3 linked regions of the Canis lupus familiaris genome follow. The protein of the gene in region 1 interacts with the protein of each later gene in a pairwise test. Links are inferred from orthologs where the notes say so. Each region holds a gene or a part of one and is shown on either strand. Other genes may lie near its edges.

Evidence for each region.
Region 2: the proteins of RAB6A (region 1) and BICD2 interact in binary tests that used the Homo sapiens proteins (3 or more experiments, as listed by UniProt). The link is inferred for Canis lupus familiaris from reciprocal best matches to the Homo sapiens genes RAB6A and BICD2.
Region 3: the proteins of RAB6A (region 1) and PMM1 interact in binary tests that used the Homo sapiens proteins (3 or more experiments, as listed by UniProt). The two-hybrid records come from large-scale screens. The link is inferred for Canis lupus familiaris from reciprocal best matches to the Homo sapiens genes RAB6A and PMM1.

The regions. Positions count from the first base shown.
Region 1 is NC_049242.1:24,608,003-24,612,233, reverse strand, and holds the start of RAB6A (ras-related protein Rab-6A), read right to left. Parts: upstream 2,857-4,231; 5' UTR 2,373-2,856; coding exon 2,303-2,372; intron 1-2,302. UniProt on the Homo sapiens protein: The small GTPases Rab are key regulators of intracellular membrane trafficking, from the formation of transport vesicles to their fusion with membranes.
Region 2 is NC_049222.1:99,442,232-99,445,874, reverse strand, and holds part of BICD2 (protein bicaudal D homolog 2), read right to left. Parts: intron 1,464-3,643; coding exon 1,251-1,463; intron 1-1,250. UniProt on the Homo sapiens protein: Acts as an adapter protein linking the dynein motor complex to various cargos and converts dynein from a non-processive to a highly processive motor in the presence of dynactin.
Region 3 is NC_049231.1:24,660,599-24,664,241, forward strand, and holds the end of PMM1 (phosphomannomutase 1), read left to right. Parts: intron 1-1,222; coding exon 1,223-1,298; intron 1,299-2,055; coding exon 2,056-2,171; intron 2,172-2,547; coding exon 2,548-2,670; 3' UTR 2,671-3,098; downstream 3,099-3,643. UniProt on the Homo sapiens protein: Involved in the synthesis of the GDP-mannose and dolichol-phosphate-mannose required for a number of critical mannosyl transfer reactions. In addition, may be responsible for the degradation of glucose-1,6-bisphosphate in ischemic brain.

The sequences.
Region 1 (4,231 bases):
TTGGCGCCTGCCTTTGGCCCAGGGCGCGATCCTGGAGTTCCGGGATCGAGTCCCGCGTCCAGCTCCCAGCATGGAGCCTGCTTCTCCCTCCTCTTGTGTCTCTGCCTCTCTCTCTCTCTATGTCTATCATAAATAAATAAATCTTTAAAAAAAATCTAAGATGACTTCAAGAACTATATGGGGGTTGTTGTCAAAACTCAAAGTAAGAAATGAGAAGCCACAGAACTCTGCAATACGAATTAGAATATAAATACTCAAGGAATTAACAAGAAACTTGCAGATACTGAAGTTATGATTGCTACTCATACTAATACCTTCCTAGGACAGAGATTAAGGATTTTTCATGCAAACTGAATAGCTCTGCATCACAACATAAGGCTAGCAATAACATCCCTAGGAAAAATAAGTAAATAAATAATTAACATCCCTAGAGTGTACAATAAGCACATTAGATCCTATTTATCAATAATGACCAATACACTGTATCTTAAGCATGGCATTGTCCTAAAACTGCCATAAAATTCCTAAACTAGGATCACTCTCAAAGATCTTACCAAGTTACTTCAAGAAACAAGCTTATACTTGCTCAGGAAAATTCACAAAGCAAAGAGGAGACTATATTTTTCCTCGGTAACCAGGGAGGGGGGTAAAGATTATATGTGAAAAGAGAAAAACGATTTCTCCAATTGGAAGCAATTTCTCAACTAATGTTAACCTACCTTAATGCCATATATATATATATGTATATATATGTGTGTGTATATATATATATTAGTATAAACAGTTCAAGGTGGTAGTAAAAGCTCTGAATTTATAACTGTTATCTGCTTTCCAATCAAAAGAAATTGTCCTCTCTACAGCCTAACCTAAGTAAGGTACCTAGCAGTTAACTCAATGTCTGATGACTTGGGAGGAACTAATCTCTCAATGTCTGAATTTTAAAGATGGTCATGAAAAATGTGAAAAAAAAACAAAAGAGGACAATAATTTCTACATTGTTGAGCGCCAAGTTTTATAATTCAGCATAAAATCAGAATCACCACGAGAAATAATTTGAGAGAAAGCCATCACAAAACTAGGAGCTTGTATTTAATACAAAGTAAGCAACAGCAGAAGCCTAGCTAGGTAAGATCATTCCACTTATCACATACTATGGAATATTAAGCATAAAAGGGTCGTTTAGCCGAAACGGTATTACATACTGAAGTCTAATTTAGATAACTAGATGATGAATCTATTCTACTCTACTCCATTACTCCCTGGCCCCAAAGGAAATCCTAGAAAACAAAGATGTTGGTTATTCTCAGGCCTTCTCTCACAGGAATCCTAAATATACAATTGGAAAACACTCAGAAGAAATTGAATAATTACTATTTCTCTGGTAATTCTTGTTTGCACCATCATAAAGAATCATACACTGCTTCATATTGAAAGGAGAAAAGGAGGAGGTGAGATGTGAGAAATTCCAAGTAAAATGATCATGACATAGCATCTGGCAGAGATCGCGAAAGCGCCAACAGTGCCAAAAGAATTGTCAGGGAATCAAAGTCATGAGAAGAAAATGAGGTTTTCTAACAAGCCACAGCCTAACCCAAGAAGCAAAAATTGCCCCTGCCGCCGCCACCCCTCTTACCCTCCAACCACTCCATCTTCAAGTCGCCTCCAATTCAGACATATATTCTCCATAACCCAAACTAATTCCCCACCTAAGTAAAAACAATCCAAGAATTTCTACGACACCCCCCGCCACTTCCCACCTCCCATAAGATCCGCACTTCCCAGGGCCAAGCCTCTAAGGAAAACAACGCCCTAATCCCCCCACCCTCCTCGTCCAAGGTTGAGGAGTGACGGTTCCCGGGAGTGGGGCCTCCCGGGGTGGGCCTTCACAGAGCTGACGATCTGGGATAAAAGCAAAGAATAAGGGTGGGGCTCCAAGAAGGGGGCTACGGTTGGTGAGACGACGGAGGCCGGAGGAAGAAAGGGATGGACAGCAGGCTGGGCTGGGCGGGGTGAGACTGGGGCGGGGGTGTGGGGGGGCAGGTCGACGGGAGAGGCCCGGGCTGCGGGGGGGGGAAGGAGATGTCGGAGCCGCGGACAGAGGATCAAAATCTGACCGACGGACCAAGACGAAGAGGAGCTGGTAGCTAAAGGGGGTCGGAAAACCCCGGGCAGGGCTGGGGGTAATGAGCACGAAACGCGAACGCGAGGCTGGTAGACAGCCTTCGCGGACAGAAGGGCCGCACTGGGGGCGGTGCGGGGAAGCCGCGGCCAGCTGCCAGGAGGGGGGGAGCCGCGCACTCACCGCTCTGCTCCCCCAGGAACACAAGCTTGAATTTCCTCAGCGGATTCCCGAAGTCTCCGCCCGCGGACATGATGGAGCCGGAGGAGCTGCCGCCGCCTCAGCCCAGAGACCTCTCGGACCGACGCTGCTCCCACCGGCTGACGAAAAAGGCGAGACGAAGGACCGACACCGAGCTCTCTCGGACCCTCTAGGGCCCGGCGGCGGAGCAAGGCTGCAGGACAGGGCTCCTCCCCACAGACAGGCAGAGGTCGCCGCCGCCTCCCCGCAGAGTCGCCTGGCACCGAGCGAGGCCCGCGGCTGGGGAAGGAAGGATGGCGGTATCGGAAGCAGCCAGGGGTGTGCTCGAGGTTCCCAAGGCTAGCGCCCTTCCCTTCTCAGCACCTGGCACCGAGACTGGGGTGGGAGAAGGGGAGGGTGGCAGAACTGGAGCCGCAGACGCGTCTGGGACCTCTCACGCGCAGCGCCTCAGCTCCCACAGCTGCCGCCGCCGCAGCCCAACCTGCTGAGTGCGCGAGCCTCTAGCGCGGCGCGCGGCGAGCCCGGGCGCGAGCGTGCCGCCCCGCCGGCCGCCGGCGTGCGTGCGTGCGTGCGCGTGCGTGCCACAAGCCAGCGCCTTCCTGGTTTAGCCTGCTCTCCCGGCTCCTACCGCGCGGCGGAGGCCAGGGCAGGTTAGGTTGCCACGCGAATCGGGAGAAGCAAGGAGGAGGCGGGGCGGAACCCTGGGGAAGTGACGGGGGTGGAATAAGGAGCACTTACGTCACTTATGTGAGAACCAATCGGAAGAAGTCAAGGGCGGGCAGGGCTGGCAGTGAGGTGGCGGCGCGAGAGCGCGCGCGGCCCTTGCTCGGTGGAAAGCGTCGCACAGCGACTGCCATGAGAAGTGTGGCGTGTCGCAGCCTAAGGGGAGGGGATGGGAAGGGCGGAGGCGGAGCTGGCACGTAGGTTGAATTGACCTCGGCCCTGTGAGGGTGTGGTCCGAGAGCCCTAAGGTGTGTACTCTGTTCCTCTTCTCCAGAGCCCTCAGCCCTGCCTCGCTCTCCTTAAATCCGCCCTTCACTCGTGCGCTCAGCCACCTTCTCCATCTTTTTTCTTATTATAATTCCTCACACGATATCTTACTAGGTACATTCTCCACTGTTGCTCTTAGGAGTTTCATAACTACCAGAAGCAGATCCTCTACATTTTTGCAGATGAGGAAATTGAAGCTCAGGGGAAGGAAATGACTTACAAAATCCACAAAGCCATCAAGTGGAACCTAGGTTTTGCCTTTTCCGCCAGTGAACCTCTGCAACCCTTCTTTTTGATAAGCCCATCCACTTCCCTGACCTGACCTGGCTTGGTCTGTTATCAGCCTTTGTTACTCTGATGTAGACAATTCTAGGTGACGCCCGCCTTCCACTGTGCTAGAAAAGGATTTAGACATCGAGGAAACCAAACCCTTCGTTTCACAGATGGTGAAACTGAGGTCCAAGTAGGAAAACAGCTATGCAAAAAGGTCGCAGAACAAAGTAAAGGTAAAGCCAGACTTTGAGCTCTATTGTGGGGGAGGGGATATTTTAAAGATCACTTTTTCCTCCTAAAGCCGGGCTTCTGAATCTGTTGTGGGTGGACCTCCCCTAAATTAGACCTCTGAAGCATGAGCGTTTTTCTCTGGAGAGGATCCATGGCTTTCATCAGATTTTCAAACCAGTTTAAAACCCCAAAAATGAAGGTGAATGTCAAAACCAAGAGGAACCTAAGGAGACATGACAACTAAGTGTAATGTAGATATAACATGGCAAACAACTCAGTGTAGCTTTTTAAGCTGAATGGGATCCTGGAAGGGAAAACGGACTTCAGGCAAAAACTAAACAACAACAACAACAACAAAAACCCTGAATGAATATGGACTTTGTTAATTATATCAATATTGGTTCCTTAATTGTAACA
Region 2 (3,643 bases), on another chromosome or scaffold:
GGAACCATCCCATGTGCTGAGCACACCTCACACAAATTGCACTACAGAGGCCACGAGGTCCTCCCGGAAAGCCGGCATTAAGCTGTTGGGGTTTGGTCAGAGGGCATGGTACAGCTGGCATAGCATGAAATGGGCATGGCAGCTGGACCGGGCACTGGGAACTACAGCTACCCTCAAAGAGGGGATGCCCCAGGGGGTGACCCCGCACAGCTTGCACGTCACACCAAGGCAGGTGGAGAGTGGCCTCCTGGGGGCAGTGCATGTCATTACATGCATGTAGTCCTGGCTCCTCCACCAGGCCTGGCCGTGGGTGCCAGCCTCATGGGGAGAGGGGACGGCCACTTCAGAGGCCAGGAGGGAGCCTGGCACAGCAGCTCAGGGCAGCCACATGCCCAGGACCAGCATAAGAGCGATAGGAACAGGGTGCGGATGGGGCTGGGCCTGTGGGGCGGGAGGCAGGGCCCTGAGAGAAAAAGGTGGCTGAGCGTGCATGGGGTGGGGAGTGGCCGGCTTCCTCCTGAAGCACCAACAGGAATGACAGGAATCCCAGCCCCACAAACCTGCTTCCTACAGGACCAGTTGAGCTCATGTCCTGACACCCAAAGCCAGGAGTCAGCAGCTTACCGGGGCTCTCCCCATGGCTCAGACATGAGGAGCCAAACAGCCCTGGCCAGGTGAGGCCACCTGGTGGGGCGAGGCTGCAACCACCTTGGTGAGGTCACCCTGCATTCCCAGAGGCCCTCCCCTCACCCCCACCGTGGTAATCCCGGTAATCCCACGGGAAGAAATGAACTCACGAACTCTGGCTCCACACATCTGAGGCCTGCCCACCCCCTGGATCCAAGCCCAGTTCTTCCCAGGCCTGCAGACCTGCATGAACTGTGACCCCAAGCCAGGGTAGGTGACCGTTCTCCACTGCTGCCAGCCCCTGGGCTGCGTCTCACACCACAGGAGCCCCCTGCCAGCCTCGGGTGGCCCTGATGTCGAAGCGTGGACCTCAGAACCACCCGTCCATCTGGTCGGCTGTCCCTGCCCCCAAAGTACACAGGGCAGAGAGCAGGTCCCCGTGGCCCAGAACGAGGCCCCTCGCTCTTGCTGATGAGAAGCCAGGGGCCTTAGGCCACGGCCAGAACAGCCCCCACAGACTCCAGGCCACACCCACTGCCCCGAGCTCGCTCACCCCCCTTGAGGATGGCCACATGCGGAAGGCACGACACACCTGCCCTGCCCTCCCCTGGGCTCGCCGGTACCTCCTTCAGCTCCTGCGCCACGGATGCCAGGCGCTCATTCTCCGACTGTGTGTTGGTGAGCACGTTCCGCAGCTGCTTCAGCTCCGTCTGCAGCTCCAGCACCTTTCGCACGTAGTACTGTTCCTTGGAGGCCGACTCCTGGATCAGACTCTCCTCCCGGCTCTCACCATCCGCGGCCACCTTCTTGTGGTTCGTGTGCGCCTGTCCAAACGCCTGCGCAGAGACCAGATTCTCGTAAGACAGAGGCCGCCGCCTGCAAGCCCTGAGGAGGACACCCCGGTGGGGACACTAGGGTTGGGGGGGATACAGGGGGTGGGCCATGGACGAGGGAGTGCAGGACACCTGAGGGCTACACAGGGCAGCAGGGCTAGTGGTCAGGTGGGAACAGAGCCAGGGAGGAGTGAGGTGGGGCTGATGGCCAAGTGGGGCCAGGCAAGGAATGACCCAGACGATGAGGTGGCCCTGGGACCCCCAGCAGCACGGACCCTTTCGGGAGTCAGGCTGCTGACCCAGGAGTGGGGCAGAGAAGTCCTGTCCTAGGACCAGGGCAGATCTGAGGCCCACATAGCACCCCTCTGCCCCACTTCAGATGGAGAAACAGGCCAGGGCGGCCTGGGAGGGTGTGAGCCCAGGTGTGGGCCAAGAGAGGAGATGGGAAGGTGAACCAGTCGACAGACCAGCGTGTGTGCCCCAGCGGGAGACCCCGCCCACCTGCCCAGTGTCTGGAGGAGAGCTGAGAGGACGCCCTAACCCCACCAGGCCCAGAGGGGAGAAGATGCCCCCATCCCCACCCCATCCCCATCCCCACCCCCACCCCAGGCCAAGGGAGGGCTCCCAGGGAGGAGGCGGGTACACCTGGCATGGTGTAGCCGACCAGTCTCAGCCTAGGCCCAAGACCAGTCACCAGGACAACCCCCATGGGCCTCCCCCCTCACTGGCTACCCCATGCAGACTCCTTACAGCCTCCCTGCTCACTGGGAGGGCTCTTGAAGAAGGAAGAGTTGATGTCTTTATTTCTTGAAAGAAACGGGCATTTTCACTTATTTCACTATCTGAGATGAAACCTAGGAATTCTGTCCAAGAAAACTGGGAAAACAGGCATAAGGGGAAGGCTGTTACTGCACAGGACCACCTTCTGACATAAAGAACCAAACCGTAGAAAGCTGGTGGGGCCTGGCTAAAGGAAGCACAGTCTGGTTGGGGTCAGCATTCTGTGAAAACGCCCATTTCTTTTCAAACCAAGTCAGCTCTGCTCTGAGACTCCGGGTGCTGTCCTCTTCTGTCTCAGTAGATAAAAAGTCTACACAGGACTTGCCCAGCCTGGGCAGTGGCCCTGACCCCTAGCTGCACAGCAGCCTGGGGTAAGCAAAACCTACCTAACTTCTGGAAGCAGAGCAAGGACCTGACCCACAGGGCAGGTGTGCTGGAGAGCCCCGGCCAGCTGAGGGCTTCCCCCTGAGCCTGCAGACAAGCCCAACCAGGTGGCCAGGGCCAATTACACGCACAGCCTCAAATTGGAGTGTGGACATCCCACTGGGTGTGGAGTCAACCATTAGAGGCTGTCCCAAGGCCAGACAGCTCAACGCGGTGATGCATGCAAGCGTGTGCACATGCACGTCCAGGCCTGCCAGCCATCCAGGCCTGCCAGCCACGGCCCAGAGACTGGTACCTCCTGCTGAGCTAAGAGGACAGTCACAGGGACTGGGAGTGGCTCCTCATGCAAAAGTGATCATTAACTGGGAACTTTGTGTCAATTTTCAAGTCATAGGACAACCAAGTAGTGAGGCACAGGGCACAAGCAAGCTCCAGGACAGCCCTCATCTGCCTCAAAGGGCCCGTGGCCATGGTGCTGGAGGAGATGGTGGGGAGCAGGCCAGGAGGCCTTCAGGGAGGAGGCAGTGCTGCAAGACGGTGGACAAGGCAGCAAAGGCAGCAGACCTGCGGACAGAGGGGACAGTCAGTGCGAACCTGTGAGGGCACCACCCAGGTGGACCACATGGAGTCACCAGCGGCGGGGGCAAGGAGGTGGAGCAGGTTGTGACCTACACAGCTGTAGGCTTCAGACCACATCCCCGAACAACGCACAGGAATAACAACAGCACCATCTCGCACTCAGGGAAACCAGCAGGCCACAGCAGTGAGCATGGCTCAGACTGGCGCCATGGTAGCTGGGGGCTCAGGATGCAGGCCGAAGCCGGCACACACGGGGCGGCGACCCTGAGGCCATGGAAGGTATGCAAGATGGAATCACAGAGTGATGCGAGGGGAGCACTCACTGCAGGGATTAGCAGCCGTCCACGATGCAGAATAGACTGGCAGGCTGAAGACACAACTGTGGGTTACCCAGGGTAGGCGGAGCCCCAGGGAAGAGGAGGGTGAGGACAGAATACGCA
Region 3 (3,643 bases), on another chromosome or scaffold:
CCTGCCTGCTGGGACAGCAAGGGTACAGTAGGCAGGGGCTTCACATCCCACTTTTCTGCTTTTCTAGGAGAGGGAGGAAAAGAGGGTTCATTCATTACCTCTCCATCCTTTAGCCCAGGAAATAGGCTCAGAAAAGTCACACAACCAGGCCTGGAACCCATGGGGCCTGCCTTTCTCTCTCATATTGGGTCACATCAGGCGTTAAACTCATGTCCTTCCTGGCCCACATCAGGCCCCAAACCACTGGCCACTGCCTGCCTCTCTCCATTCCAGTCCTACCCAACTTGGACTGACTGAAATGCAGGGCTAGCACTCTACTCCCCTGCTTCAAAATCTCAGTGGTTCTCAGTTCCCCCAGGATGTGTCCAGACTCTCTCCCAGGCCATCTGTGAGTTGGCTGTCCTATCAGGCTCTCGCTGCTCCTTCGGCAAGGTGGGGACTGCCCCTGCACTGCGCGATCCTTCCACCCGTGTGGTGCTGGCCCCTGTTAGCATGGCAGCCAAGATGCTGCCCTGCTAGGCCCTGCATGGCTGTTTGCCCGTGGCCCCAACAGGGCCAGGCCAGGGGTCCTTGGCCTAATGAGCAAATGCCTCCTTAGTCCAGGTCTGCAGATCTGCTGCGGACTTACAAGGTCCTGACCCAGGAGTGGGGTACAGCAGGGGACTCCTCAGCACTGCTGAGTCCCCCAACCCCCTGCACATAGGAGGTGCCCAGTCCACGTCGCCGTGTGGCTGGTGCTGTGGCTATGCCTGGCATCCTGCTGACCTTCCAGCACCCACTGCTGTGCTGTAACAGGGCTTCACCTGCTCCTGGCTCCTCATGCTCCTCTCTCATGTCCGATTTGCTTGTTGAGCTGGGGAGAGCAGTTGGGACTGAGCCCTGCCCTGAGGTGGACCTTGGGACTTGGGCCTGCCCCATCCCCTCAAACTCCTCCTCATGCCTCCACTCCAAGGGCTCCTTTGGATACCCTGACCACACCCCCATTGGCAGGTTCCGGCCAAGTTCAGTCACAGACTTCTGGATTCAGGCCCTGGCTCTGCCACCAAGGCTGGATGACCTTGAATAAGGCACAGCCATTCACTGAGCCTCGGTTTCCTCATCTGTAAAGGGGGGGTCACGGTATCCACCTCGGAGACCCTGAGCTCCCACAGTTGTGTGCCCAGCACAGGGCCTGGCACACAGCAACCCTCTGAGCCTCAGTCTGTTCCCTCCCCACCTGCAGAAGGAGAAGATTCGCGAGAAGTTCGTGGAAGCCCTGAAAACAGAGTTTGCTGGCAAAGGGCTGAGGTTCTCTCGAGGTACATCCATCCATTCATCCTGGGAAGGGTATGAGAGCCTGACACAGAAGCCAGTCCACGGCCTCGCTCCCAGTGCCTTTAGAAAGCCTTCCTGCCACCCCCCCACCCGGTCTTACCCACCGAAACCCAGTCCACACCCTGCCACCCTCCTAATTGCTCAGGTCAGAAAACCAAAGCATCTCCCTCAGTGTTTCTCCTCACCCTTTCCCAAGTGCAGTCCACTAGCAAGTCCCAGGGCCTATATCCAGAATGCTTCTTGAATCTGACCACGGTTCACACCTCTGCCAAATTAGTTCTTGGACTCGGGCTAACTAACATAGCTGTCCTCCCACTGCCTAGTGTCCAGAGGGATACCCCTGCTCAGAGCCCTTCCTGGACCCCAGGGCCTGCATGGCCTAACCCTTTCCCTGTCCCAGCCTTCTCTAGTGCTGGGAAACTCCATGCCCTTCTCCACCATAGCAGGCAAGGACTAGGCCTGATTCCCCGCTATTGCCACTCTGGCTCAGCCCTTAGTACCACCTCCTGGAAAGGTCTCCCCAGCAGTGCTGGTCTGGCTTGTTGACTGCCTGTTCTCCCCACACCAGGATCACAACTCAGTGAGAATCCTGAGTCTCCCATGCCCTGTGGCTGGCTCTGAGCAGGCACTCAAGGGTGGTTGAATGAATGAATGAGTGAGTGAATGAATGAATGAAGCACCTTGCCCAAGTTCACCCCATCGGCCACCCCTCTGTTAGTCTTGTCTACCACCCCCCCACAGGAGGCATGATCAGCTTTGACGTCTTCCCCGAGGGCTGGGACAAGCGCTACTGTCTGGACAGCCTGGACCAGGACAGCTTCGACACCATTCACTTCTTTGGGAACGAGACCAGCCCTGTGAGTGTGGCGCATCCAGGTGCCTTCCACCCCAAATTGTGCCCGGGTCAAAGCTAGGACGCAGGGCAACAGAGCACATTCCCAGGAGACTCCCTGAGAACAGCCTGTGTTCGCCAACCCCATTACACAGATTGGAAGACTGGGGCCTAGCGCTGGCTGGTCACTTGTCCCATGCCACACAGAAAATCAGGGCAGGTCTGGTGAAGACTGAAAAGATGGGGTTCTGGGTGGTTCTGAGGGGTAGGGGGAGAGGCAGCTCTGCCGGAGCCAATATGGGGAAGGGCCCCATGCCAGGGTGTGTGATGGGCCTTAGCCCTGGGCAACTCCTCCAGGTACCACATATGTATGTGTCTTCTCTGCCCTTCATTGTGTGCAGGGTGGGAATGACTTTGAGATCTACGCTGACCCCCGGACCGTCGGCCACAGTGTGGTGTCCCCACAGGATACAGTACAGCGATGCCGTGAAATTTTTTTCCCAGAGACAGCCCATGAGGCGTGACCAGGGCCCATGCCTGCTCCTAGGGACTGCTTCTAGGGATTTCCTGAGAACTCCACCCAGGCCTAAAGAGAGCCCCTGACCCTGGTGTTGGGTGGGGTGCCAGGGCCCCTCTGGCTCAGGATGCCTGCCTCATTACCTACCGCAAGGCCCACCTTGATGGGGCCAGGGTCCGCGTGGATAACCGTCCCCAGCCGGTCAGCGCCCAGCGGGACCAGCTCCGCCCTCCAACCCGACAGCCCTGGCTACAGCTGCTGCTTGTACTTGTAAACAGAACAGATTTCTGTCTATGCCGGGAGTAGGCATGTGCTTGTGTTCGTACGAGATAGAGCCCACCCTGCTTATCTGTCCCAGGCAGGGTGCAGAGCACTGGGGAAGGTGTGTATTTGCCAGAACTTTATCTCACAAATATTAAAGTTCCTGGAACAAGGTATGGTGTCCGTTCTGTCTGAAAAATTGGCCCGTCTCAGGTCATGTTACAACCGCACTTAACAGATGAGGGAACCGAGGCAGAGATGGCAGGGACTCCCCTCACCCCTCTGCCGGGTCACACAGGATGTCGTTGATGTGCTTGAGGAGAGTGGGCCGTGAAAGCCCTAAATAAAGGTTGTGTGGGGTACCCTCCCCAAGCCATTCCCCTGGGACCCAGACAGACAGAGGCATCCCTGGGCCAGGCTGAGTCACAGTTGAGGGTTTATTGCCAGTGTTAGGAAGGATGGGGGGCGTCCAGGCGGCTGGGGGTCTTGGGAGGATTTCGGACTCGACACTGCGGGGCTGTGGGTATGCAGGAGCCTGCCGTCCCTCTGCCTCCTAGGCAGCCACATCTTATCTCCTGGCTAGTGCCTAAAAATGGGGGGGTCTGCTCACAGGAGGGAGTCTTGGGGGCTCCCAGGAGTTAACCTGCACCGATAAACCTACTGAGGAAGCCAGGAAGTCCTTGTTCCTCTGGGGCAAGTCCTCAGGCCTTGTCAGAAGC